7 linked regions of the Danio rerio genome follow. The protein of the gene in region 1 interacts with the protein of each later gene in a pairwise test. Links are inferred from orthologs where the notes say so. Each region holds a gene or a part of one and is shown in the gene's direction. Other genes may lie near its edges. The genes, in order: rabac1, rab33a, snx10b, syt16, zfyve21, fxr2 and snx15.

Region 1 (4,254 bases):
CTAATATTGATAACAATAATTAATTTCCTATATCTAAAATAACTTTTTTTTTTGCTATTAGCAATCACACTGTGCCTACACTACCTGACAAAAGTATTGTCGTCGATCCCTGCTGTAAGAGCAACAAATAGTAACTTGACTTCTAGTTGATCATTTGGAAAAGTGGCAGAAGGTAAATTTTTTGATTAATCATGTTGAACTGCATCACACATACTGCTGACCTATTGGAACCCTCATGGACCCAAGATTCTCACAGAAATCAGTCAAGTTTGGTGAAGGAAAAAATATGATTTGTGTTTACATTTATTCAACATCAACAGCCTGAGATATCAAGACATTTGCTGCCCTTTTCATTACATATCACAGGAGAGGGCAAATTCTTCAGCCGGATCACGCTCCTTCTCATACTTCAGCCTCCACATCAAAGTTCCTGCAAGCAAAGGTCAAAGTGCTCCAGTATTGGCCAGCCCAATCACCAGACATAAAAGTTATTGAGCATGTCTGGGGTAAGATGGAGGCGAAGGCATTGAAGATGAATTCAAAGAATCTTGATGAACTCTGGGAGTCCTGCAGGAACACTGTTTTTGCCATTCCAGATGACTTTATTAATAAGTGATTTGAGTCATTGCAGAGATGTGTGGATGCAGCCCTCCAAGCTCATGGGAGTCATACACAATATTAATTATTTTTCCATTGCACCATGACTTTATATTCTATACTGTACATTATTTCTGTTAAGTCTTTTGTTTTAGCAAAGTCAGGCCTTACTATCCTCATTAAATAATAAAAAATCAAGGCATAATCATATTTTATTTTGGTAAAAGAAGCGTACACTAGAGGCCTTTGCCTTTCAGCCACTGATACCAAATCATCAACTAAGTCAAGTTATTTGTTGTTCCTAAAACTTGGATAGGCCACAAGGTTTTTGGCAGTGTGTACTGGAAAAGAACAGAAATCCAATTCCTGAAATTAATAGCATTTAGCTAGAAAAAAAGTATTTATTGACATCACATATTTATAATGCTGCAAATGAATGTCAACTATACAATGTTCATTACTAGGTATGTCTGTTCTTGAATATTAAAATATATTATATATTATCAAGGGCTGATTTAGTGATTTTGGGGCCATAAACAATTCCAGCCAAGGGGCCCAAAAGTTCTAGAATGCATCTTTTGTACTTGAATTTTTAAAAATTATTTTCATATTTTTTTAGTTTTGCTGTTTTTTTCTTATATCATTAAACCTCATTTTCTATATTTTATCTTAATGCAAAATAATAGTTATAACATGTAAAGGACATTGTATCCATTTAAAAAAAATTTAGGTGCATGCCCTGTATGCTGATCCGTGTCACTAGGAGGCAGTCGCAAGTTTGACTCGTGTTAACTTATGTCAACAGAAGAAGATCGTCACCGCTGTTTGCGAACCACATCATATCCGCTGCACATCAACACAGTCAACACATCTACACAAAGTGCTGTGAGTATGATTGTTACTTTAAGGTTTACTCCCCTTTTAAAGCACAATTCTAGAAATATTTCGTCTCACTGTCTGTCGATTTCTCTATGTTACTAACGTTACCGATTGATCTCAAAGTTAAGGGGTATCGATATATATTTTGAGAAAGAGCGCTTGCTGCTGTCTGTAACGGATTTGATAAACAAACTTTATGGATTATGTTTTGTGACATACCAAAAAAAGAAAACGTTGTTTATTGTCTGACTGTAATAATTTATTTTTTGAGGCACATCTGACGTAATGTAGCAGCTTAACAAACTTGCTCTACCGGATTGTTTCTCTTCTTGAACGCAGAGTTTCAGTTGCAGCCCATGAGTGACATCATTTTTCCAGTAACGTCATTGAACACGTTCATAACTTACCATAACATAGAAAGCGAGCTTCATAGATTAAGTGAAGACATACAGAGGAAGTTTAGAAAGTTGCTTTCTGTGAAGGAGATCAAATTCATTGTTTTCCTATCAAGTGTAAAAGTCTTAGTATCCCTTGACTAAAGTTATGTGCATGTTCTTGTACTTATAACGTTAGAGGTAAAGTTGGTTTTATATTCGCACATTTAGAAGTCCCTATATTGTTTACCATGTTACTTTGAATATTCGATCGGAATTAGCCTGCAAGTATGACTTCTAAATAACATTAATTCTATCTAATTGATTGTGAACAATGTTGTACTTTGATAATCATTTGGTGCTTATATGATTTTCCTATTCGGAATTTGCAAAGAATACTTTTCTGAAATTATATTGTTAAGGAGAATGTCTGAATATCCGAATATAACTTTTCCTTTATCTTATACTTCACTTTGAAGAACCTTTCATCTATAGTTTGCTATTCATTAATCCAGCCTTTTGAAAGGGTTTTTTCTTAATAGGTAGATCTTTTTGCTGTTGTTCGCCTCATTTTCTGTTTAGTTATGAGATTTCAATGCTGAATTTAGATGAAATTTTAAGCACTTTTTACCTGACTTTATTGAATCAATTATCTTGTTGGATGGTCATCATAACCACACTTTTTGATGTACCAAAACATTTCCTAAATATTTATAATAAAGAAATAAATATGGCAAATATGTGTTTTTAAAACAGAAATATATTGCATCATTTATCATGCATCAACGTTTTAAATTAGAAACTGTAGCCTAGTGTAATTTATTAAGCAAATAACTGACTGGCCAGCACATTCAACTTTCCTCAGTCAGAATGTGGCCATTTAAATAATAATAAAAAACTAAAACATAATAATAATAATAATAACAACAACAACAGTTAAGAGCTTCACAGTTTTTCTAGCCTCTTGTATAAGTACTTTACACTTTATTGGTTATTTTTTGTTTCAAGAAAAGTGATTGATAATAAAAGTTACTTGTCAAATCTTTTCCCAATTTGAAAACAATAAAGTAGTGAAAGATGACTTTGCTTATGTCAGGTGTTTTCTTGCACAGCTGGATGTTGGACTCTTGAAAAATAATTGTTTGTATTGGCCAAAACTGATTAACTGAAGTCACACCAGGATTACGCTTGGTCTTAATGCCTTTTTCGATGGGTTATTTTCACTATTTATGATGGCATAGCAGTCAAAAAAGAACAAATGAGCTCATGTATTGGACAAATTCTGGACCTTTGTCAGTGTGGGTGGGTGGGTCTTCCGAAAACCCCTGGCTACGGGCCTGGTGAGTGTTTTTTTTAAGTGGATAAAAGGATTAGTTCACACAAAAATAAAACTTCTGTTATTAATTACTCACCTTCACGTCCTTTTAATTCCTGCATGAAATCTAAGTTTCCTCATCATCCTTTTATGGTCCAGACACATTTATAGTCCAGAAAAGGAACTAAACACATTGTCAAAACATTCCATGTGACTTCAGTGGGTCAACTATAATCATATGAAGCTCCAAGAACACTTTTGTGTGTCAAAAACGTATCAGATCAGGACATGCGTTTATTATGAACTCTGATTACCTGAAGCGGAAGAGAGGACAAATAGTGGTACTTAATCACATAATTTAAATTTTTGGGTGAACTAACCTTTTGAAGTTTTATATGAAAGGCCATGGTCCTTTGTTATTCATACAATGCAAGTCAACAGTTACCTGCACTTATAGAGTCAAACATAAATATACAGGCAAAACATATTTAACTTCTGTGACACCTGAAAACACATTGAGGTCTAATAAAGGGAAACTATAGGTCTGTGCAAAAAGCTGAGCAATATTAACAGTAACTTATTATTGCATCTTACCCAATGATCCCACTTTCTTCTTTTGACAACCACAATGTCCTTTACATCTCAATCAACCCACATAGTATAAATGTACCAGTGGCTCTCAACTCTGTTGGAAATTAAATCAACATATGAATATATTTAAATCAAAATAGTAATACATTCTTGTTGATTAAGATATGTGTTTTATTATTAGACACGTCGAGATGGATGCAAAAGTAAGTGACCCCTTTAGCAGCGAGGCAGAGCAGCTTCCAGGAGCAGGAATTGTGGGAAGGTGAGTCTGTCACCAGAAATACTACAATCTGTAAAAGCCCAAAACTCCAGAAATTGTTTATTGTTTAACTCTTATTGAGAGTCACATTAGATAAAAGACACTGCTAAATGATTAATTTCTTTAAAAAAATTATTTTAATTGTAACTTTCTTTGTTGTTGTTTATATATATATATATATATATATATATATATATATATATATATATATATATATATATTTATATGTATGTAAGTAT
Region 2 (4,208 bases), on another chromosome or scaffold:
CTGACCCCAAACTTTTGACCGGTAGTGTAGCAACATAAAAAAATACAGACTCTTCAAACAAGCTTTAATTGACAGAAAAAAAATAACACTGCTACATTTAAATTTCATCAGTTATGAAATACCTTCAATTTCAACTGAAGACAATATCGTTATAGAGATCAGTTCAGTGTTGTTTCAGTTTATTTAATCAATTATGAAACGTCCTCAGATTCAGCTAGAGCAGCCCTCCCAAAAGCTAAAAAAAAAATAAAAATTCATATGATTAACCAGTTCATTCTGAATTTGACATATCAAATATGCAAATATGAGTGCAAGAGTGCAAATATGTCAGTGCCTTTACAAAATAATAATTGTCCTTTAATGTGTAACTTTAAAATGCATCAGATAATTCATTCATTAATTTTCCCCTTTATTCATCAGGAGTTGCCACAGCGGAATGAACCACCAACTTATCCAGCATATGTTTTACACAACAGATGCCCTTTCCGCTGCAACCCAGCACTGGGAAACACCCATACACTCTTGAATTCACACACATACACTACAGCCAAGTTAGTTTACTCAATTCCCCTATAGCGCAAGTCTTTGGACTGTGGGGGAAACCGGAGCACCCGGAGGAAACCCACACAAACACTGGGAGGGGGATGACCCCTGTTGTTTAACTTTACAAGCATCTTAATAAGAGCAGTTTAAATTTTTAATCGATTATGCTACAATATTATCTGGGGCTTTCATGGTCTTCCACAGTGCAAAATAATATATATTTCTTAGAGTTTTTTCCTTTTTCTATTGCAAATATTGACAATATAAGAAAATATTCTTGCTTAAAATTAAGTTAATTTTTACTTAAAGCAGCTACATAATTTTCTGCAGCGGGGTAAACAATTTATCATAAGATTATTTTTCATGCTTTTAGAAATTTCACTTTCAAAAACATTAACTTCTATAAAATGCTTTATTTAAGAATTTTCAAATGTACCAGAGATTTATATGTAATATGTTTTCTGTTTCTCAAAAGATTTTAAAAGAAACAGCAGTTTTAGATTCTTATTGGTGCTTTGTTGAATTGATTTTTGTCTTAAAAAGAGGTGAATATTCTTCGAAAACTTCATTTTATAGCCTTTTTACTGCAATAAATTCTTCATTCAAGTAGCCTATTTGACAACAAAAACGAACCAATAGCCTAAATAATTGTTTTTTTAGAGGGAACTATCCCTTTAAATGTCATGTTGTTTTGTTTATTTAAGGGGAGAATTTAGTTTAGTTTTAATTTCCCTTTTAATTGCTTAAATCAACTACATCAGTTGGCAAACACTTGTCGGGCTATGTAAACTCCCTGCATCTGCAAAGGGAGTGGATCTGCTATCCCTTCCCCCATCACTACCACCACCATCATCACCGCCGGACCAGTGAACACCAGGCTCGGCACATCATTTCACCGTTATGGCAAATGAATTCTCAGAAAACAGAGACGGAACTGCCAACTCACGCCATGCCAACCTCACGTCGTCACTAGACCTGAGCACGTCTCTGGATCACAGCGTGCAGACGCGGATTTTTAAAATCATTGTCATCGGGGACTCAAATGTGGGAAAGACCTGTTTAACCTTCCGCTTCACCGGCGGAGCCTTCCCGTGCAAAACTGAAGCCACCATCGGCGTGGATTTCAGGGAGAAAGCGGTGGAGATCGAGGGCGAGAAAATAAAGGTGGGATTTATAGAAGGGGTTGCTCTCGCCCTGAAGGCCGACATCTCGTTGTATTACGATTGTATTGTGTGTTTCAGTGACAGCAGCATCACGAGGAAGCTCAATGTTTACATTCTGAGTAACGTTAATATCTACCATTACTGTTTCTTTGATCGCATGCAGCGTCAAAAACATAGCCTAGTTTATAGTTTCCATTACAGGCGAGTCAAATTACATGTCATGTGGAAAATTAAAAACAAAAATGCGAGTGCTTTGGTCACACCTGCTCTTTATTGTTGCTTAGGATGGTAATGTAATGTTTTGGTAAATGGTAACTGGTTTTTACTTCGTAAAAGATGGTCATTACCTTTTCCAAACTCCCCATCAGCTGCACCAAAATGTTATTATCAGATAAAAGTTAATGTATCATAAAGTTATAGATGCACCTTATGCTGGTCTATCAACAAATGGTTGTCAACCTGGTATATAAAAGGTTATAAAAATGTATGAGCATATAAGATGTAAATGAATATATACAGTTGAAGTCAGAATTATTAGCCCACCTGCTTATTTTTTTCCCCAATTTCTGTTTATCGGAGAAAAGTTTTTTTTTCAACACATTTTTCAACACATTATTTTTAATAACTCATTTCTAATAACTTATTAATTTTATCTTTGCTATGATGAAAGTAAATAATATTTAACTAGATATTTTTCAAGACACTTCTATACAGCTTAAAGTGACATTTAAAGGCTTAAGTAGTTAATTAGGTTAACTGGGCAGGTTAGGGTAATTAGTTATTAGGGTAGTTATTGCATAATGATGGTTTGTTCTTTAGACTATCGAAAAAATATACATAGCTTAAAGGGGCTAATAATGTTGACCTTAAAATGGTGTTTAAAAAAAATTAAAAACTGCTTTTATTCTAGCCAAAATAAAACAAACAAGACTTTCTTCAGAAGAAAAAAATATTATCAGACACACTGTAAAAATGCCATTGCTCTGTTAAACATTCTAAAGGAAATATTTAAAAATTAAAAATAATAATAATGATAATAATTCAAAGGGGGGCTATTAATTCTGACTTCAAATGTATACTCACACGCACACACATATATAAATATACAGTTGAAGTCAGAATTATTAGCCCCACCTGTTTATTGTTTTTACCAATTTTTGTTTAATGGAGAGAAGAATTTTTCAACACATTTCTAAACATAATAGTTTTAATAACTCATTGCTAATAAATGATTTATTTTATATTTGCCATGATGACAGTAAATAATATTTGACTAGATATTTTTCAAGACACTTTTATAAAGCTTAAAGTGACATTTAAAGGCTTAACTAGGTTAATTAGGTCAACTAGGCAGGTTAGGGTAATTAGGCAAGTTATTGTATGATAGGCTAATTTGTTCTGTAGACTATCGATAAAATATATATATAGCTTAAAGGTGCTAATATTATTGTTTTTATTCTAGCCGAAATAAAACAAATAAGACATACAGTGAAAATTTCCTTGCTCTGTTAAATATCATTTGGGAAATACTTAAAAAAGAAGAAAAATTTCAAATGGAGGCTAATAATTTCGACTACATTCGATATACATACATACATACATACATACAATCATATATACATACACATTATCATTTGCTTGTGATTTTAAGGCCTATGACCAAGCATTTCAGGAGAGTTTAAAACATTTGGGCACAAAAAATTTTGGTGTTTGTAAGTAACAATTTATGCAAATGTTTTTTTTTTTTGCTTCAATTTTTTTGTCTTGTTTCTAGACCAAATATCTACATTTCGAAGTGAAAACAAGATTATTTTACTCACCTTAATGGCAGATCATTTTGCTCGTTGTAAATAAAAAACTTTTTTGTTATTTCTTAAGAAGGTGAGAATAAAACAGTATTTGTACTTGAACTATAAAAAAAAATCGTTATTTGTACTAGAAACGAGAAAATGCAAATTAAGAAAACTATTTTCTTGCACTGGTATTACTGCACCTAAATATTGTTAGACTCCCCAGAAAATTGCAAAATAGAACTGATAATCTTGTGAAACTGTGTTCGTATCACAATATTTATTGCAGAAAAATCGTAATATCAGATTTTTCCAATATCATTTAGCCCTAATGTATTTGTATTTTAATAAATTATTAATTATTATTTTGAGCAATTTTTATATCTGTCTTATGTAGCAAAAGCTTGTATAAGAAAAATTGTAAGTTGCTTTGGAATAAATAGTCTGAAAAATCCCTAACTGTAAATATTGCAGAGGTGATTATTTTTTCATGATTTTTCTTTTACATGACGTTAAAAGTTATGTAAAAATAAGGTCAAAGATTTGAACGGAAATCTTCAGAATGTATACTTAATACCTATGAATGGTTAAAGTTTTTATTTTTAAAGATCAATTCATAAATAATTATTTTTATAAATTAAATAAATGTATTTCTTAGCTGTCAGAGTCACTTTTCTTTAGTGCTGATGTTTGTTTTTGTCTTGTTTTTTCT
Region 3 (3,995 bases), about 11 Mb from region 1:
AAATGTCACAAATCAAAGATTTGATGTTAAATCTTTAGCCCTGCTCACTCATAAAGCACTGTGGATTACATTTTTGTGAGTTTCTCTCTGAATATATTTAAAACCAAAAATTTAAATGTCCTTGTCCTTTGCATTTCTTCAGTTGAGCCATTTGCAATACTTCATGGTATTGTGACTTTTCTTTTTTGAATCCACACTTTCCAATTTTCATGGAAATTTTTTGCTTCAAATCAAAGTTTTAAATATTGTAATTCACCTCATATCTGGTTGGTGCGTTTCGTGTCTTCTAATGCTTTAAAGCCTTTTAACAAATCCTTATGGGCAAAATATTTCCTGAACCAGCATTTATGTGCATCATTATAGTTTTGTTCTTGGTGTAAACAGGCCATTTTAAAAGTTATACTGTGATAAATCCTTTGATCTGTGAGCGAGTATTGTGACTCATAAATCGGTAGATTTGCACAAAACTAATTCTAGAATGTAGCCTGTACAATCACACTTTATTTGTGACATTTTTATTTTTGGTCAGTTTCACTTTCATAACAGCAGTATGATTAGGCCATTTACTGTAGGCTGAGGTTTTGCTGAAGTCCTTTGTCTTGCTGTTTCACTTTTCTAAGTTCCTTTTTTCTGTAAAGATCACTGTAACATTAAATCTCTAGGTGCTTTAAATAAACATAGACTTACCTCAGAAGTGTTGTGATCGTTCTTATTAACATGAAAATTTGCAGTCATCAGTAAAAGTGTTTTAAAATCAAATAACTCTAATTATCGTTGGTATATTATAAAATAAAGTCAGTTCCTAGTAGATTGTTCTTTTAAAAATCATAATGCTCATAAATATAGTTTATAATAGCCATTTTGTTTTTATTTTAAGAGGTTTGAAACCACTACAGGTACATGAATAACTCTTTAAGTACTGCTATGGTTGTTTTAAACACGCAGGCATTATGATTATGAGACCCATTTTTTCCAGCTGCTTTTTCCTGCTCCTTTTATTTTTATGGTGCAGCTAGTCTGCTGTGTCTCTAGTGGCTGGTAAAAATGAAGCACCGCTGTCAGTCACAGGCACAAAATGAGCTGTGATGTTTTTCCCAAGTCTACAGTTATCATGAATCAGCCCCAGTTGGTCAACAAGACCAATGTCTCATGAAAATACTTCCTACTTTATTCTTCCCCATTTTTTATCTCAAAGCTTGCTGTTGTGTGTCACTGTCCAATAAAAGTTAGTGAGTGAGTGTATTCGTTTGCTCTTTTCCATAATTCTTGGACTTATGCAGGAATTCACTGGCGTTTGGGTGAGGGATCCTCGCATCCAGAAGGAAGATTTCTGGCATGCCTTCATGGATTATGAAGTTTGTATACATGTAAGTGCAGTCGTATGCAAATGGTTAAAACAAAAGTCAGATGCTTCCTGGTTGTTATTTGTATTTTGTATTTGCTTAGACAAACAGCTTGGCGTTCACTAAGAAGAGCTCCTGTGTGCGGCGGAGATTCAGCGAGTTTGTGTGGTTAAGAAAAAAGCTACAGGAAAATGCCTTGCTCATGTATGTAGCCGTTGCATCTGCTCTTGCTATTTATATCTTTTATTACTAATGGTTATTCATATGTAGGCAAGACTTCAATACATGTGAGAGTATCTGCATACTTATTTTATTAATATTATTATACTTTTAATTTGAAAGAATATATTGAGAATGTATGAATTTGAAAAAAAATCAATTATAATAAATGTTATATATATATATAATTTTTATATATTAATGATTTAATAGATTTTTTTAAATTAAATTAATACAGACAAATCCCCAGACCTTGTGTGTGGAAGTCATTGGTTATAGTTGAATTACATTTCCAATGTAGTTTTTTAAAAAAAATAATAGATACTTTTAATCAAGTAATAATTTTACGGAGTTATTTTATTACTATTTTAATATTTAACATTATGTTTACTTAGTCTATTTCAATTACTTGCCAACACTTTTGTTAGTTTGTAAGGATTTGCACATTTAGGTTTTCCATCTAATATTTTTATATTTGTTTTATTTAATTTTTAGTATAATCCTCAAACATATATTCAATAGTTTTGGCTAACAATATCAACACTGCTAATTGTTAAGCAGCTGTACTGTAGACATTTTAAAATTTCTGTCATTGGGCAATTTCCATTGACTCAAACTTAACCTTTTGTATTTGAATTGCAGAACACATATACCTAAACTTCCTCCAAAAAACCCCTTCTTCAGTCTCAACAATGCAAAAGAAATTGGAGCCCGTATGGAGGGGTTAAGGAAATTCCTAGAAGCGTAAGTGTCTGAATAACCACACACACACACACACACACACACACACACACACACACACAAAACATTAAATAAAAACAAAACCATGACTCACAATCAAGGGTGGATTAAGTGATTTTGGGGCCCTTAGCAGTTCCAGCCATGGAACCAACAGTCCTAAAATGCACCCTTTTTAGTTTTATTCATTTTTATTTATTTCAAGAATTCACACTTAGCTGATGATTGATTATAAACAAGTTTGGCATGCTTACCCAATAAAGAGCCCTGAGCTCAAAAGGTCCTTGAGCCCTGGGCTCCCTCCTGTTTGCAGGGCGCAAGGGGAGCTCTGAGCTCAGGTAGCTGATCTCTGGAGAACTCCCCCCTTGATGACAGAAAAGGATTGCTATGGAGAGATATGCTACTGCATGGGAGTTTGACTGTAGTGCTAAATTTAGATTGATCAATGAACTTGTAGTGCATGTTTTTGGAATGTTGTAGGAAACCAGAGAACCCGGGGGCAACCCACGCAAGCACGGAAAGAACAAGCTAACTTCACACAGAAACGACAGCCAGCCTGTTAAAGAACTAGAACCGGTGACTTTCTTCCTGTGAGGCAACAGTGTTAATCACTGGGCCACCGTGCCACCTTATGAAGAGAAAGGTGGAGGAGTGGGGATGGAATGGGGGATTCTTCAAATCGAAGATGACTGTAGTGAGAAACCCTGTCTCTTTAGAGTGGGTTAGGATTTGTTTGATTGGTGGATCAAACATTGTTAAAGCAGAACCAGCCGTGTTCAATCATAAACACGTGATCCTCTCGAAATTTGTTTATAAATAAACTTCACTTATTTTGCAGGGTTTTTTATATCACGGAATCTCCTTTTTCATGTTTTATCTCAATGAAATCTCTACATTTTAAGTGATTTGTGTTGTTTACGTGAACTCACATCTAAAAAAAATAAATGAATAAATTGAAAATAATAAATATTTTTTAAACAATTGAATCTCTACCTGACTTGACTGCTGGACTGCTCCATGATTGGGACAAATTTGCATAGATTGTATAATTATGGTAAAATGTAAATTCTAAGACCCTCACAATACAAAATATGATAGAAAACAATGCTATTTGTATAATTTATACTTCTTGGTATTTGTTGGTCCCCTCAAATTTCCTGAGGCCCTAAGTGGCTGCTTACTTTGCTTATTGGTTAAATCTGCCCCTGCTCACAATCACTTTTGATGTCTTGAGCATTTGCTTGTTTTTCCATATGATCTTGTAAGACTTTTCTGATAAAAGAATGAATAAATAAAAATCAAACTTTTTGGTACAAATGAGATTTTACAAGTCTATTTAACAATCCACTAATAACTAAAGTAACTGAAATGGTTATGGTTTGATTAATCAGTAAAATGTTTACTTCTTCCAGGGTGGTTCACAGTGCGGTTCTGCTGTCAGACAGTTGCTTGCACCTCTTCCTACAGTCCCAACTAAGTCTGAAAAAAATTGAGGCCTGTGCTGAAGGCAGGACTCGCTACACTGTATCCGAGGCCATTCACAGTTTCAGTTCTGGACACAAACGCTTTGATTCACTGTGTGAAGAGAACATGGAAGAAGAGCAATGTGTGCAATGTGAATCAGAGTGATTATTTTTGGACAATAAAATGGAGTCAACGCACATTATGCTTTTAGATATAAAAATACAACCTCTG
Region 4 (4,188 bases), on another chromosome or scaffold:
GTTCTCAACCAATACAGCAAACCTACAAAGCAGATATAGTGATTAATACGGACACAATTTTTGTGTTTGTACAGCTCAAGTATATGGGATCACTAGGAGTTTCAAAAAGTAAATGGATTAAATCAGATTTATGTTATCTAAAAGCAAATTTCGTCACTGTTTTAGAGCACACTAGCAGATACTCTTCAAACTAACAGACTAAAACTAACTTATAAAAATGTAAATTTTACTGCACCTTAAAATAAAATTGGGAATCAGTATCAGAATCTGACAATTTGCATTCAGAATCGGTTTGATTGGTGCACCACTAATTAACTGATTTATCTGATATCAATTCTGTCTGTTCTACAGTTTGCATGTTCTCCCTGCATGTTCTCCCTGCATGTTTCCCCCACAAGTACCACGTTCATCTAGACATGTGGTATAGATGAATTGGGTAAGCTAAATTGTCCGTAGTGTATGAGTGTGAATGGATGTTTCCCTGTGATGAGTTGCGGCTGGAAGGGCATCCGCTGCGTAAAAAATGTGCTGGATAAGTTGGCGGTTCCCTCCACTGTGGTGACCAAAGATTAAAGCCGAAAAAAGAAAATGAATCAATCAATCAATTCTGTCCTTCTGATCAGTGTCTGATCTGTGTGTCTGTTCTCTCTTCAGTCACTCCTGAGGCGGTGGGCTTCCTCTCGGCCGTGGGCATCTTTGTGGTCTTGTTGGCCATACTCTTCCTGTTCATCAATAAGAAGCTGTGTTTTGCTCGTGTCGGGGGCCTGCCCTGCCTAGAGCAGTACAGCCGACGCAAGCGAAGAGACCGTGCAGGGATTCACCAGGGTCTGGGTGAGTAATACTGCTCCGACTTTTTTTGCTGAGTAATTGTTTTTGCAAAAGGTTTCACAGGTTAAAAAAAGTCCCGCATATGGTGTGTTTAGGGTTTCTAATTTAGTTTTGAAGGCCTTCTGCAATAGGTTTACATAAATGCATGTTCAAAATACAGTAGCACCGTTTATTGTAAAACCTTTCAGACCTTTTTCATTCACAAACTGCAATATTACAAACGATGTGAACTGCGATATATTTTAAAACAGACAATACTTTGACCATAATCTCAGATGAATACAGGTATAGCCTGGGATGTTTAATGAACAGTGTGTGGGATGTTTGTTCAGTCTGTTTGATGGCCAATGGCAAACAGGGGGAGTGTTTGGGATCCAGTTTTCTAATTAGATGCATATCTCTATGTGCTCTATGGGTTGTCCCTTTTTCTATTCTTTCCTCGCACATTATGCACACATACTCACCACCTGTGTGTTAACTCTGCACCTTTTGGTTTGACGCACACACACCAACACACTTCTCAGTCTGTATATCAGCAGGGTGGTGGAGGAAGTTCTGCTGTGGTATTTAAAAGCAGCTCCTTTAGTAAACATTCAGTCAGTCCGTCCTGCGAGATGTCCTGCGTCTAGCAGCTAGATAAATGTTATGAATTCAGGTCCTGCTGAATTGGTTTGACAGAAGGTTTGTTATATGTGCAAAGAGTAATCGAGTAAATGGAGTAATTGAGGAAGACTTGCTGGTAAGTGTCTGATCTAAAAGCAATCTAAGAATATGTGTTGGTTACTGTCTTAGAAATTTGAATTTAGTTTTATTTATTGCAAATTTACTGTTGTTTATACATATATATATATATATATATATATATATATATATATATATATAGAGAGAGAGAGAGAGAGAGAGAGAGAGAGATATTTAAAATAATGTAATTTATTCGAGAATGTATTTAATTTATTCAATGTTTGTTCATTGATTTATTGATATAGACACATTTGTTGTTCATTTTTAGAATTGAATTACTTTTATTTTAGTGTTATTTTTAGTAAATATTTATTATTATTATGATTATTATTATTATTAAGTATTTATGTTAGTAATCATTATCAGTAGGGCTGCACAATATATCGTTTCAGCACTGATATCGCAATGTGAGTGTTCGCAATAGTCACATCGCGGGATATGCAGTGTTAAATTGGCATTATAGTCGATCAACATTGAGAATACATGAGATTTGTGAGGTCATTGCATTGTATAGCTATATCAGAGTGAAACTTTATCATTTGGATATGTTTTAAAGGCATTTCAAGAGTGTAAAGCATTTAGGCACAATAACGTAAAACATTTGTAACTTTAATGAAGAATAATTTGACTTAATTATTATTACAATAAACACTAGATAGTGTTATTTTACATTACTTTACCCGAATGTTGTTTGACTAAATGGAAAACCATAAAGCACTGTTTATTTTACTTTTATCGTTGCTTTATTGTAATTATTCTTGCAATTTGTTTATTATTTTTTTATACATGATTCACACCCTTACAAAGTCAACCCAACTAATCAAATTAAGGATTTTTCAAAATAGAGGTATTCTAGGCCATCTGGTAAAATTGTATTCAAATCACAATATATATCGCAGCAAAAGAAATATTGTAATGTCAGATTTTTCCAATATTGGGCAGCCCTAATTATTAGCCATAAGAACTGTAAAATCTGTATGTGAGCAATTCCATGCAAATATCAAGCTTGCCATGAAAAAAGTTTTTACCAAAATAGCAAAACTGTTTCTAGGTTTTTTGTGTAGGCTAGTATTTTAGAATATTGTAAAAATACTCAAAAATGTCTCTGTCAGTGTTTTCAAACAATTATATTTGATTTAACCAAGTCACACAAGTGCCAAATTCAGTTCTGTCACATAAATAACGGAGAGGTGTCACATCCATAATGAAACATTTTTCTCATGAATGCAATAATGTCAAATAAAACCAATCGGTTTTTTTTTTTGTTGTTCTAAAGTGAGTCAACTTTTATCCTTTTGATTAGCGTTGTTTCTATTGGGTTTTGCAGTTTAATTGACAGAATTTCTACAAAGTATGTTGTAGACTGTAAACTCACAGACGTTTTGGTCACATCTATAACGCATGCTTATTTTCCTCATTTAAAATTTAAAGATGGTTTACAGGTGAATATTTTTTGGATTCCATAACTCTGTGGTTAGTTCTTTTGAAAACTATAACAAGATGTCTTAATATAATGTAAACATATACTTTCTCTGTTCATTTATGTTTTGAGTTTTTACTGCAAATCTCACTTCCATAACGCTGGAATTGCTCGTATATGTTGTTGCATAAAAAAATTAAACCAAAATAATTTGATGTGAAATTTGATTTGATGTTTTTAATAATAAAAAAATAAAATCTATTAGATCTAAAATCTAATATATATATATATATATATATATATATTTATATATATATATATATATATATATATATATATATATATATATATATATATATATATATATATATACATGTATATTATTAAAGCAATAATGATAAAAGTATTTTTACATTTAGCTTAAAACCATGTACTAAAATAATCTAAACATAAAATGACAAAAAGACAGAATAGCTCAAATTTGATCTGTAATTAAAAATAAAATAACTGTAATTGATAAGCAATTATGATAAAACAGCACTGCATGTAACCTCTATGTAACTGCTCATGTAACCTTGCATTGTACATTAGTTATCTGTTATGCATAGACAAAATGTAGTTTATTGTTTAATTGAACAAATGATTATAATGTTCTTTCTTCGACCATAATATCGATGTTTTGAATTTAATACAGTGAAAGCATGAGGAACTTCAATGGGTCTTCTGTACATCTGAAAACAGACCTCCTTAGTGCAAACAGGGTAAAACCTTGACATTTAATGGAATGGCAGATACTCCTCAGACAGGTATCCCAGCATTCTCCTCATGGCTCGCTCAGATTTCAGATGCTTTTTCCAGTGGCTTCCGCCGCCTCGGCCAAAATGAAACTGTCGACTCAGTGAAAGATGAGAGTTCAGAGGTGAATTTGAGGGTTGTTCATGGATCTGTAGTGGATTCACAGGGCGACAAGTTTGATTATGCACTGTCTGCTGAACGTCTGACTCCCATCAGCGAAGAGACAGATGAACTGGAGAGCGGGAGGAGTCTGCTTACTTCTGATACTGGTAAGATGATGGTTAGCTGCACTGAAAAAAATGTTTCATTGGATTTGCTATACGCTTTTTTTAAGATAACTGATTGCAAACAATTTATATGGGCTGAAAATGAACAAATGAAGTTGAACATCACTCAATTTAATT
Region 5 (4,027 bases), on another chromosome or scaffold:
GGACTCTTATTGTATAATCAAAGACCTTAAAGCTTTTACTGGGGGAAAAGCTAAATATATTATATTATATATATATTATAATATATTATATTAGATATTCACAACAGTACTACCAACAAGTATTCATTCATTCATTCATTCATTTTCTTGTCGGCTTAGTCCCTTTATTGATCGGGGGTCGCCACAGCGGAATTAACTACCAAATAATCCAGCAAGTTTTACGCAGCGGATGCCCTTCCAGCCGCAAGCCATCTCTGGGAAATCAACAATTATTATGATAAAAATATAAATAAAAAGTATTAATCCCAAGAGAACTCTATTTGTATTGTTAAGGACCCTCATGTAATTTTACTGACTGTGAATCCACAGTACAATACATGTCAGAATTTGGGAACAACTAATTGTTTAAGGTGTATTCATGTACTAATAAAAATAATGTTTACTCTAATAATAATATTGGGTTCATCCAATAATACAGGATATAAAATATATAAAATAATAAATAATGCTAAATTAAAGTAAACAATTAAATACAAAAACTATAATATTTATTATGATTGTTTTGGTTATGATTATAATGATTATGATGAATATGTTTATATTATATTATATTATATTATATTATATTATATTATATTATATTATATTATATTATATTATATTATATTATGTTATATTATATTATAATTACTACTAGTACTACTACTTCTACTAATACTACTACTACTATTATTAGCGAGATTATAAAATTACCAATATTTAAAATGCTAATATAAAATAATGCATAACTCTTTAACCTTTTTTTGTTTTTTTGGCTTGGGAGATTAAAAGGATCTGTATTTTAATAATACCAGCTGCAGTAATGACAATTCCAGTTCTACTGCTACTACTACTACTACTACTAATAATAATAGTTATTATTATTATTATTATTATTATTATTATTATTATTATTATTATTATTATTATTATTATTATTATTATTATTATTATTATCATCATCATCATAGTAGTCGTTATTATTATTATTGTTATTAATAATAATAATAATAATAATAATAATAATAATAATAAGAAGAAGAAGAAGAAGAAGAAGAAGAAGAAGAAGAAGAAGAAGAAGAAGAAGAAGAAGAAGAAGAATATATTTTACATTTTATTTCTGTTCATATCACAGACTGTTAAAAATATTTATGTTAGAGCTATGAGGGACTCTTATGTTGAAGCGGTGTCCGTGCGGCTGGTAGGGCGGCTGATGTCTGCTCCGTTCTTCTCTCCAGCAGCAGCTGCGCACTCATAAACACAAACATGTCCGCTGTTCCTGACGGCAAAAAGCTGGTCCGGAGCCCGAGCGGACTCCGCATGGTACCGGAGAACGGCGCGTTCAACAGTCCGTTTACCCTGGACGAGCCGCAGTGGGTTCCGGATAAAGAGGTAAAGAAGATCGATCACTGATTATTGGGATGGTGATGATGATGATGCTTTGGGCGTTGTTTGCTTAAGGCAAGAAGAGCCAGTGGAAAATATTTGCTAACTTTCGCAGATGGTACTACAAAGACGTAAGATGGCACGATTTAGATCTTTTAAACAGATTTGAGTTGAAATGCATGCAAATCACCTAGTATATCTGCTGTAGTGAGTACTGTAGTGTGTATGTGAGCGAACAACCATCATTGTGAACATGTATAATGTATTGATAAATGATTGATCTGCTGGGCATGTGACAGACAGTTTGGATGGCATGGCATTCGGGTCAAACTTTGCCCAATGCTTCTGTGTGGCCAAGAGACTGTCAGACGATTAAACCACGCCCACTTATTAATAATATATGGCGAGGTATGCAGAAACCACTGACATTCAAAAGTACAATTTCCATCACCTTTGCCACATCACGTGTCACGTCAACCACTTAAAGGGACAGTTCACCCAAAAATGAAAATTAGATTACTATTTACTAACTCTTATGTGGGTTCAAACATTCACAAGTTTATTATTTTGTTTCTATTGAACACAGAAATTATTATTATTATTATTATTATCATGATAATAATGATATTATACAATGATATTATTATTATCATTGTCAGTGCATCAGGTGACAGTAGTTTTTTGTAAATAAAGCCAATAAAGGTCCCGTGAAGTGCTTTGAAATGTACATTTTTGTTCGATGTTTGACGTAATCTCAACTGAAAAATGAAGAGAGGGTGGGACTTAGCGTAGCCCCTCCCCTTTAAAAAAAAGTCAGTCAGTTGAGCAAATCAGTTGAGCAAAGCTAGAAATCAGTTGAGCAAAGCTAGTGTAATGGATGTGAAATCGGTAATAAAAATACACAAAGAATGTTAAGCTTAACAGTATATTGAAACATAAGTTTATATCTTTCAACACAATTAACTAAAGAGCTAATGCATCAATAATGATCTGTAAATGTGTTTTATATTTGAAATTTGGAAAATGAACATGGCTTATGGAAATGACCAAAAAGTATATAGTAAACTTGTTGAAAATTCTGTGAATTAAGCTACACGTTCCAATAGAAATTACACTGATCAAAAGGATGTGTTATATTAATAATAATAATAATACATTTATTCATTCATTTTCCTGTCGGCTTAGTCCCTTTATTATTCTGGGGTCGCCACAGCGCAGCGGAATGAACTGCCAACCTATCCAGCAAGTTTTTACGCAGCGGATGCCCTTCCAGCCGCAACCCATCTCTGGGAAACATCCACACACACATTCACACACACACATACTCATACACTACGGACAATTTACCCTACCCAATTCACCTGTACCGCATGTCTTTGGACTGTGGGTGAAACCGGAGCACCCGGAGGAAACCCACGTGTACACAGGGAGAACATGCAAACTCCACACAGAAACGCCAACTGAGCCGAGGCTCGAACCAGCGACCCAGCGATCTTCTTGCTGTGAGGCAACGGCACTACCTACTGCGCCACTGCTTCGCCAATAATATTAATAATAATAATAATTCCTTACATTTTATATAGTGCTTTTCAGGACACTCAAAGCTTTTGATGCATTGAGATATATACATATATGTCTTAATATTCATTAAATATCAATGTCTTTTCAGATTTAAAAGATCATTAAACCAGGGGTCACTAATCTCGGTCCTGGAGGGCCGGTGTCCCTGCAGGGTTTAGCTCCAACTTGCCTCAACACACCTGCCTTTATGTTTTTAGTATACCTAGTAAGACCTTGATTAGCTTGTTCAGGTGTGTTTGATAAGAGTTAGAGCTAATCTCTGTAGGGCACCGGCCCTCCAGGAACAAGTTTGGTGACCCCTGCATTAAACTATGCATTTAACAGAAAAATATCTTGAAAACTGCATTACCCATGATTTTACAAAAGTCTCACCCAATCAGAGGGTGGCATTAAGAACTCTCGAGTGTCAGTTTTCCTACAAAACTGCTAAAGTATATCTACTTTACAACTGTTTATATTTTAATCAACATCCTTTAAATTGGCTTTATAATTCTGTCATTAATCTGATCTTATCATTGGCAGTGCATCAGGTGATAGTAGTTTTTTGTAAATAAAGCCAATAAAGGTCCCGTGAAGTGCTTTGAAATGTACATTTTTATTCGATGTTTGACGTAATCTCAACTGAAAAATGAAGAGAGGGTGGGACTTAGCGTAGCCCCTCCCCTTTAAAAAAAAAGTAGCCAATAGCATTTTGTTTTTTATCACAGCTCTGCAAGTGAGACTGGTTGAGCTCAAGCACGTCAAATGAAAAGCATCTTGAAGGGGGCGGGGCATGTCAGAGACTAGAGAGCATTTGATTGGTCAAGCTTTGAGAAACTGAAGTATGAGGTGATGTGAAAAAAAGGTTAATCCATTTAGATGGAAGTGACAAACTGCTAAATTTACATGTTTATATCAGTTTTATACAACGCAATCTCATGGCAGTTTGTAACATTTTGATTTGTTGGTTAATTCGTATGAGTTCGTACGATCTAATTTGTACAATTTAGTACGATTTGCTCCTTCAATGATGGTTGCTTTT
Region 6 (3,500 bases), on another chromosome or scaffold:
AGTTATAAGCTACAAATTTTAGTCAAATTTCATTGATTTTTTTGTTCCTTGTTGTTTTGCCTCTTTGACTTATTTTATAAAAACATTTTAAGCACCTGTTCTTATTTTTTCTTTTCAAACACATTCCACAGTTATACACAATAGAAGAAATATAAACATTTTTCTTTAGTTTTACCTCAAAGGAACACTAAAATAGGCACATTTTAAGTCTGCCAGTTAAACCACAGAAATTTAGCAATCCATCTAGCCAATCTGCAGATCTTGCATGGGCACTTTTAGCTTAGCTTAGCATAAACCATTGAATCAGATTAGACCATTAGCATTAATCTAAAAACAATTTGAAAAGAGTTTTATTATTTAAAGTGCAATGATATTTTGCAACTGCGTTACCTTGTTTAACTATCTGCATATTTTTTTTCAGGACTATACGTTATATGCACAGCTAGTGTTTCTTACTATTTCGATAAACTTCTGGTCAATGTGACTTTTTTTTCAGTATTTTACGGTTCTTTTTACAGCATTGATGTTGTAATGTAATTAAAATATAATCAGTTAAATAAACTTGAGCATTCATTTAGTTGTTGAAGCGTAACACGAGATGAAAAGCCGTTTACAACCACCTGCCCGTCAGGATCAGCAGGCGAGCGCAGAAACGAGTAAAATAAATGTTCATATTTTAAAGACATGGCGTGGGAAATTCTAATTTAATGCAGTGCTTCCTGTACATTCTAAAACCCACTTTATATTGTATATCAATCGGGCAGTGATCGTTAATTTTGTAAGAAACAGACCTCAGGCGATTTTGCAAATGCACACAGTTCACTGGAAGTGCTTGACCGAAGATAGTTCTTCTGCATATTTCTGCATATACCCTTTTATCTAGGGGACTTGTAAAATGAGCCTATTTACAAAAAACTGAAATGTTTCTTTTAAGCTTTGTTTTGTAGATGTAATGTGTAGTACGTTTTACAGGGAAATTCTCAATTAAGATAATAATAAATAAAATTTCATACAGTTGACTGATGGTGCATGACGTTAATCTTAGAATGTAGTGTACATAATGCTGTTATATGCCTCTAAATGCAAGTTACTGGAGCAAAAATGCCCTGTATAAATTAGTGTCTGTGTCATATCATAAGGCAGTATCATACGAGCATTGAGATAAATATCTCACACAGGCTGTTTTTTTCTCTCAAATATCACCAGTGCTACTAAGGTGCCTAAATTGTTCTGTATAAATTGTGTTCCTGCTGCTTAACATTCTTCATTCTTCTCGCAGGAACTAACTCTGAGATGTCCAATGCATCAGAGACAGAGGATTTGGGGGATCGGGAGTCCAGGCCTAAAGGGGTTGGAGCAGATGATCGGGGTTCGAAGCGTGGAGGTCGAGGCCGTGGCTCCAGCGCTGGCAGGGGCCGTGGAGGACCAGGACCCAGAAACATTAACACTATCAGCTCAGGTACAGCCAATTGGAATTTTAATATATAGAAGTCTGAGCCACTGTTAGTAGTGAATATAGTTATTATAAGTAGCTGTAATAGATCATTTTCACAATGACCCTACTTCACTTCCCCCTATCAGCAGCAAGGTGTATTTTTTGTTCCAGTGTACTTTCGAATGATTGGCAGACTTCTGGAAAATTTACAAATAAAAATATTAACTTTGCCTGTTGTGATTTAAAACTATTAAAGTATTGGAATTGTCCAAATGTTACTCTTTCAAAACTGAACCGCTTTCTGAGTTTGAAAATGTTTAAGTTATTACGAATAGGAATAGGCTGTTGTTTATCAAGGAAAGTATATGTTTGCAACATTTTTCACTTAAGTTTATGTAATTTAGTTTTGTTTTATTTAATCAATAATGGGTTTATTTTTGTTTTGATGCTGCTTTGAATATAAATAATTTTATCTGTTATATGTAAATCAATAAATGCAATTCGTTTTATCGCTTATTATTTACTGATCTATTAATGATTTGTTCAGTTTCTCCATTTAAATGAATTATGACGGTGTTCTGCTGCCACAATGCATGGGTTTAGTTTGATATCTGTACTGTCTTTTAAATAATAATGTTGCAAATAATTTTAAAATCTACTAATACTGAATTAAAGTGCTGTCGTCTTGGTGTTATTTTACCACTGTAAATTTTTGTAATGATTTCATTTGATTATTTGAGTCACATACAACATTGTTGTTCTATTTTATTTTATTTGAATCTTAGAATTAAATGTTTTTTGTTTTTAAATGAAATGCCTTTTATAGAAGCAAAATTTCAGAGATCTGAGCTGTAGAATGTGAATTATATAAATGTGTTTGTGAATCAGCTGTCCACTGTAAACATCTGCAGTATAACGCACACAGTTGTATTTATTACTTACTCTACAGGGCACAAAAACATACTAAAAAATAATTTGACAAAAAAAATGTTCAGCACCCGTGTAAACGTCTGAAATCTTTATTTGACAAAAGCTGACAAGTACATACCAACTTCATCTAGAGTAAATACAGCCACACAAAGCAATACACTCTGTTTAAAGTCCCATTATCTTGGTCCAAGAGAAAATCCGCCTGATGTTTAAAATTATTTTTTAAGATGTCTCACCTTGAATGCAGACAACAGAAAACTGCCTGGTCACAGTCTAATTGTTTCTGTAGTAAATATACAGCTGACTGGGTGAGTTCTCTATGGGGAGTTCTGTGTAGGCGGAAGTAACCATACACTGCGTGGAGTGAAACCGGACATAATGTGAAAAGGGTCTATTGTATGCAAGAAAAAAAATCATGCAAGACAATGACAAATTAAGTTGTCAAAGTTTGAGAAAACTAAGGCTTTTAGACCTTAAAAAAGGTATTTTATTGAAGGGTTATTCATAGAAGTCAGAAATCTTCATCATTAGCTACACTGGTGGCCAGTAAGTGATCTGGATGTGTTTTTTATGGGCACCCGTTCTCAATTTTAGCTATTTGTTTGAATATTATTGGTTTATTAGTACTTGTACTTATAACATTTTAATGCATATGTTCTATATTCTTCACACCGTAATCTTTTCGATATTTGAATGGCACTGCTATAACTACCTTAAATGTTAATAATCAGTGTATTAGGATATTATTAATGAGCAAAAGTCATATTTAGCATAGAAATTGGGAATATGAATAGACTATACATTTATATGACTCTCATTTAAATTAATTCTTTTTATTATGCGTTTCTTTACAAGCTTTTCAAAATTGTAGTGTTAAAAAACAAAAGGAAATTAATGATAATTTACACAAAGCTCCTTTTTAAATGCTTGGGAGGCTATCCATGCAAAATTCTCTACATTATTATTTGCTTTGTGCTTGACTTCTGTGTTTGTGTGTGTTCCAGTCCTCCGAGATCCGGACAGTAACCCATACTCTCTGCTGGAGGGTGAAGGTGAACAGGGCGGTGATACAGATGCTAGCGAGAGCATGGGTGGTATTGACCGCAGAAGACGCTCACGTCGCCGCCGTAATGAC
Region 7 (3,500 bases), on another chromosome or scaffold:
TTTAAAAAGCACATAAATTGTTTTGCAATTTGTGATTTGTTTTAAGTTGAATAAAAGAAAAACATTTTCCATTCATATATTTTATTGAGGATTCCAAAAAAGTATTAAAAATCTTGTGAACCCTATCTCATGTCTAGTCTCATCTCGTGGAATAAGCATCTTGTCACACCCCTTTTACTAACCATTAATAAAGAGCCAATTAGACGTTTATTTGGAGGCAAAAGTCATAGTTAATAGTTAATATTGTGAATTGGTCTCCAAACTAAATCTTATTTTATCTAATTTAATATTTGATTAAAATTTAATAAGTTATTACCTTTAATGATGATTGTTAAAAATAAAAATTGCCATTAAAAATAAAAGTTTTAAACAATGGTTTACTGCTCCATTGCAGATGCTTCGCCTGAAATGCCAGGCTCTCCAATCGACCAGTTGGAAGAGTTTGATGCACTGTTTGACTCAGGATTGGAGGACTATTCCTTCAAAGCTCCGCCTCTGCTTTCAGACACAGACCTCGCTATTTTTGACCCTTGTGTCAAAGAAGGTGGGAGAATCTATTCAGTTTGACTTACCATGTCTACATGCAATTGTTTTTTAAAGCAAAGTCTCACTCTCATAGCTTGATTCAATCTCTCAGATCAACCGTACGGATCACCCAGCCATGCTGAACTCCTGTCTGCTCCTCTGTGTGGTTCAAATGGGACGGATTCTGCTGTAGATGTTAGTTATGTGTACCAGGCCAATGAAGAGCTGAATGCTGCCCAGGAACAAGAGAGAGAAGGCAACTATAGCACAGCCGTACAGCGATACAGGGCGGCTGTTGATATATTTATGAAAGGAGTGCAAGGTAAGACATGGAGGCTGTTTGCATGCACATTGCAACACTAATTGATATTTTGCAGTATGTAATACAGTTGAAGTCAGAATTATTTGCCCCCCTGTTTATTTCTTTTAATTTTTTGTTTTATTGTTACAATTTTTGTTTAAAGGAGAGATTTATTTAACGCATTTTAAACATAATAGTTTTAGTAACTAATTTCTAATAACTGATTTATTTTATCGTTGCCATGATGACAGTAAATAATATTTGACTAGATATTTTTCAAGACACTTCTATACAGCTTAAAGTGACATTTAAAGGCTTAACTAGGTTTATTAGGTTAACTACGCAGGTTAGGGCAATTAGGCAAATAATTATATAATGATGGTTTGTTCTGTAGACTATCAGAAAAAGATAGCTTAAAGGGGCTGATCATTTTGACCTTAAAATGGTTCATAAAAAATTTAGAACTGCTTTTATTCTAACTGAAATAAAACAAATAAAACTTTCTCTACAGTAAAAAATATTATCAGACACACCGTGTAAGTTTCTTTGCTCTGTTAAGCATCATTTGGGAAATATTTAAAAAAGAAAAAAAATCAAAAAGAGGCTAATAATTCTGACTTCAACTGTATATAATTGGTGCAAATTTTCTTTATGAAAAATGTCTGGATACTAAACACAACATTGGTTACATATCATATATTTAACAAAAACACACAATTGGGAAAATAGCATCCCACAATGCACTGTGCTTGACCAGACGTTCTATTTCTTGTGTGACTAATTAACTGAAAGGTTATGAATTAATTTTGAAATACAATTTAGAGACGCTGCTGTTCCAGAGTTTGTGGTAGACATAAATTTTTTTTAATGTTTCTTGTATTTTACAAGACTGCATTTATTGAATCAAAAATGTAGTTTAATCAACAATTTTATGAAATATAGGGTCACACTTTACAATAATGTTCCATTCGTTATGTTAGTTGTTTGTATTTATTAACATGAACTTAAATTGAACAGTACATGTACAGCGTTTATTTATCATATTTTAATTTGTACTAGTGCATTATTAAAATGTAAAATTGTGCTTGTTAACGTTAGTAAATGCACAGTTAACAAGAATTTACTATGAACATCTTTATTTCATTAGCCAACGTTACTAAAGATGGTTAAGTATTGTAATAAATGTATTGTTTATTGTTCATTTGTGATTGTCAATACATTAACTAACATTTATGGAACCTCATTGTTAGGTGTTATTGATATAGTTTATCATGTTTTTCATGTTAACTTATTTCAGTTTTAATATATTTTTTCAAATTTGTTCCTGTGAATCATTACTTTAGTTTTTAGTGTCACATGATCTTTTAGAGAGCATTTTAATATGTAGACATGGGGCCCGATAATGATTTCTTATTTATGTTATCAATGTTGAGTAAAATAAATATTCTTATTTTTCTTAGAAAACATATACAATAACCATATACAATCCAATCTAGCCCCAACAAAGCAATCCCCAAATAAAATAATACAAATCTGAAAAATAAAATAATAATAATAATGAAATAAATACAAATACAGAAAAAACTAATTATAAAAAACCGTATATATATATATATATATATATATATATATATATATATATATATATATATATATATATATATATATATACTTACACAATCCACATTTAAGGTTTTTAAATCATTAAAAAATGCAAAAAATTGTTGGCAGTTTTCCGACAACTGTTCTCCTCTACCTCTGATATTGCATTTAACATATTTCTAAAGGTGCTGGTTGACTTGACATTGTCACCAGGTGTCAGTAACAACCAAAGTAATTCATACATATAAAGCAAACAAAACTAATTAGTTTAGAAATTAACTTTTGTGTGTTCAAATAAATGAAATGACAAAGGGGAACAGTATTGAACACATGAAAAAACTGGGGTATTAGAGGTCATGGAAATCCTAGACAGCAGACAGCATGAATATAAGCTGCTTTATTCCAAACATCTACACAACCAGATGATGAAGATGAAAAAGGGTTGATATTAAAGCAAGACAATGATCCCAAACACAGGCAAGGAAAATCTCAATGGGTCTCAGAAAAAAGAAAATAAATCTGCTAGAATGGCCCAGGCAATCACCTGACCTGAATCCAATAGTAAAAATGAATTAAAGTGGATAGACAAAACCCACAGAACCGTCAAGACTTTTAGACTCTGTTGATGTTTGGGGGAAAAAATTACACCTAAGCAATGTATGCAACTCCATTCTTCATACTACAAGCTGTCATTAGCATAAGTACATTTCAGTAGTTCAGTACCTTTTTCTTGTGTCGTTCCATTGTTATTATGCATAACAAATTTTTCTGAATTGGATGTTCGGATTGTTTGATACAGAGTTTGAGTTGTTTGGGTTTTTACCAAAATATGCATCAAATTCATGTCAACAGCTCCTTTAGAAATAAATGGCATTTTCAATTTTAAATGTTTATCTTAACCACTATTATTATTATTATTATTTTTATTATTATTATTATTATTATTATTAATAATATTATTATTGCCGGCAGCTAGCTCTCTGCAACTTTCAAATGGTCCACCACTGGAGCTAAGCAGAGCTGCTCCTAGTCACTACCTGGATGGGAGACCACATGGGAAAGCTAGGTTGCT

The links.
Region 2: the proteins of rabac1 (region 1) and rab33a interact in binary tests that used the Homo sapiens proteins (3 or more experiments, as listed by UniProt). The two-hybrid records come from large-scale screens. The link is inferred for Danio rerio from reciprocal best matches to the Homo sapiens genes RABAC1 and RAB33A.
Region 3: the proteins of rabac1 (region 1) and snx10b interact in binary tests that used the Homo sapiens proteins (3 or more experiments, as listed by UniProt). The two-hybrid records come from large-scale screens. The link is inferred for Danio rerio from reciprocal best matches to the Homo sapiens genes RABAC1 and SNX10.
Region 4: the proteins of rabac1 (region 1) and syt16 interact in binary tests that used the Homo sapiens proteins (3 or more experiments, as listed by UniProt). The link is inferred for Danio rerio from reciprocal best matches to the Homo sapiens genes RABAC1 and SYT16.
Region 5: the proteins of rabac1 (region 1) and zfyve21 interact in binary tests that used the Homo sapiens proteins (3 or more experiments, as listed by UniProt). The two-hybrid records come from large-scale screens. The link is inferred for Danio rerio from reciprocal best matches to the Homo sapiens genes RABAC1 and ZFYVE21.
Region 6: the proteins of rabac1 (region 1) and fxr2 interact in binary tests that used the Homo sapiens proteins (3 or more experiments, as listed by UniProt). The two-hybrid records come from large-scale screens. The link is inferred for Danio rerio from reciprocal best matches to the Homo sapiens genes RABAC1 and FXR2.
Region 7: the proteins of rabac1 (region 1) and snx15 interact in binary tests that used the Homo sapiens proteins (3 or more experiments, as listed by UniProt). The two-hybrid records come from large-scale screens. The link is inferred for Danio rerio from reciprocal best matches to the Homo sapiens genes RABAC1 and SNX15.

Annotation. Positions count from the first base shown.
Region 1 is NC_133191.1:11,086,695-11,090,948, reverse strand, and holds the start of rabac1 (prenylated Rab acceptor protein 1), read left to right. Parts: upstream 1-1,454; 5' UTR 1,455-1,482; intron 1,483-3,937; 5' UTR 3,938-3,947; coding exon 3,948-4,018; intron 4,019-4,254. UniProt on the Homo sapiens protein: General Rab protein regulator required for vesicle formation from the Golgi complex. May control vesicle docking and fusion by mediating the action of Rab GTPases to the SNARE complexes.
Region 2 is NC_133189.1:19,966,491-19,970,698, reverse strand, and holds the start of rab33a (ras-related protein Rab-33A), read left to right. Parts: upstream 1-1,408; 5' UTR 1,409-1,443; coding exon 1,444-1,707; intron 1,708-4,208.
Region 3 is NC_133191.1:22,386,779-22,390,773, reverse strand, and holds the start of snx10b (sorting nexin-10B), read left to right. Parts: upstream 1-1,195; 5' UTR 1,196-1,274; coding exon 1,275-1,367; intron 1,368-1,446; coding exon 1,447-1,547; intron 1,548-2,204; coding exon 2,205-2,306; intron 2,307-2,868; exon of another isoform or gene 2,869-3,415; intron 3,416-3,712; coding exon 3,713-3,929; 3' UTR 3,930-3,995. UniProt on the Homo sapiens protein: Probable phosphoinositide-binding protein involved in protein sorting and membrane trafficking in endosomes. Plays a role in cilium biogenesis through regulation of the transport and the localization of proteins to the cilium.
Region 4 is NC_133188.1:41,039,365-41,043,552, reverse strand, and holds the start of syt16 (synaptotagmin-16), read left to right. Parts: upstream 1-1,388; 5' UTR 1,389-1,567; intron 1,568-3,683; 5' UTR 3,684-3,773; coding exon 3,774-4,053; intron 4,054-4,188. UniProt on the Homo sapiens protein: May be involved in the trafficking and exocytosis of secretory vesicles in non-neuronal tissues. Is Ca(2+)-independent.
Region 5 is NC_133188.1:47,247,021-47,251,047, forward strand, and holds the start of zfyve21 (zinc finger FYVE domain-containing protein 21), read left to right. Parts: upstream 1-1,227; 5' UTR 1,228-1,305; coding exon 1,306-1,431; intron 1,432-4,027. UniProt on the Homo sapiens protein: Plays a role in cell adhesion, and thereby in cell motility which requires repeated formation and disassembly of focal adhesions.
Region 6 is NC_133182.1:22,730,745-22,734,244, forward strand, and holds part of fxr2 (fragile X mental retardation syndrome-related protein 2), read left to right. Parts: intron 1-1,279; coding exon 1,280-1,459; intron 1,460-3,369; coding exon 3,370-3,500. UniProt on the Homo sapiens protein: mRNA-binding protein that acts as a regulator of mRNAs translation and/or stability, and which is required for adult hippocampal neurogenesis. Specifically binds to AU-rich elements (AREs) in the 3'-UTR of target mRNAs.
Region 7 is NC_133182.1:19,941,065-19,944,564, reverse strand, and holds part of snx15 (sorting nexin-15), read left to right. Parts: intron 1-394; coding exon 395-544; intron 545-637; coding exon 638-847; intron 848-3,500. UniProt on the Homo sapiens protein: May be involved in several stages of intracellular trafficking. Overexpression of SNX15 disrupts the normal trafficking of proteins from the plasma membrane to recycling endosomes or the TGN.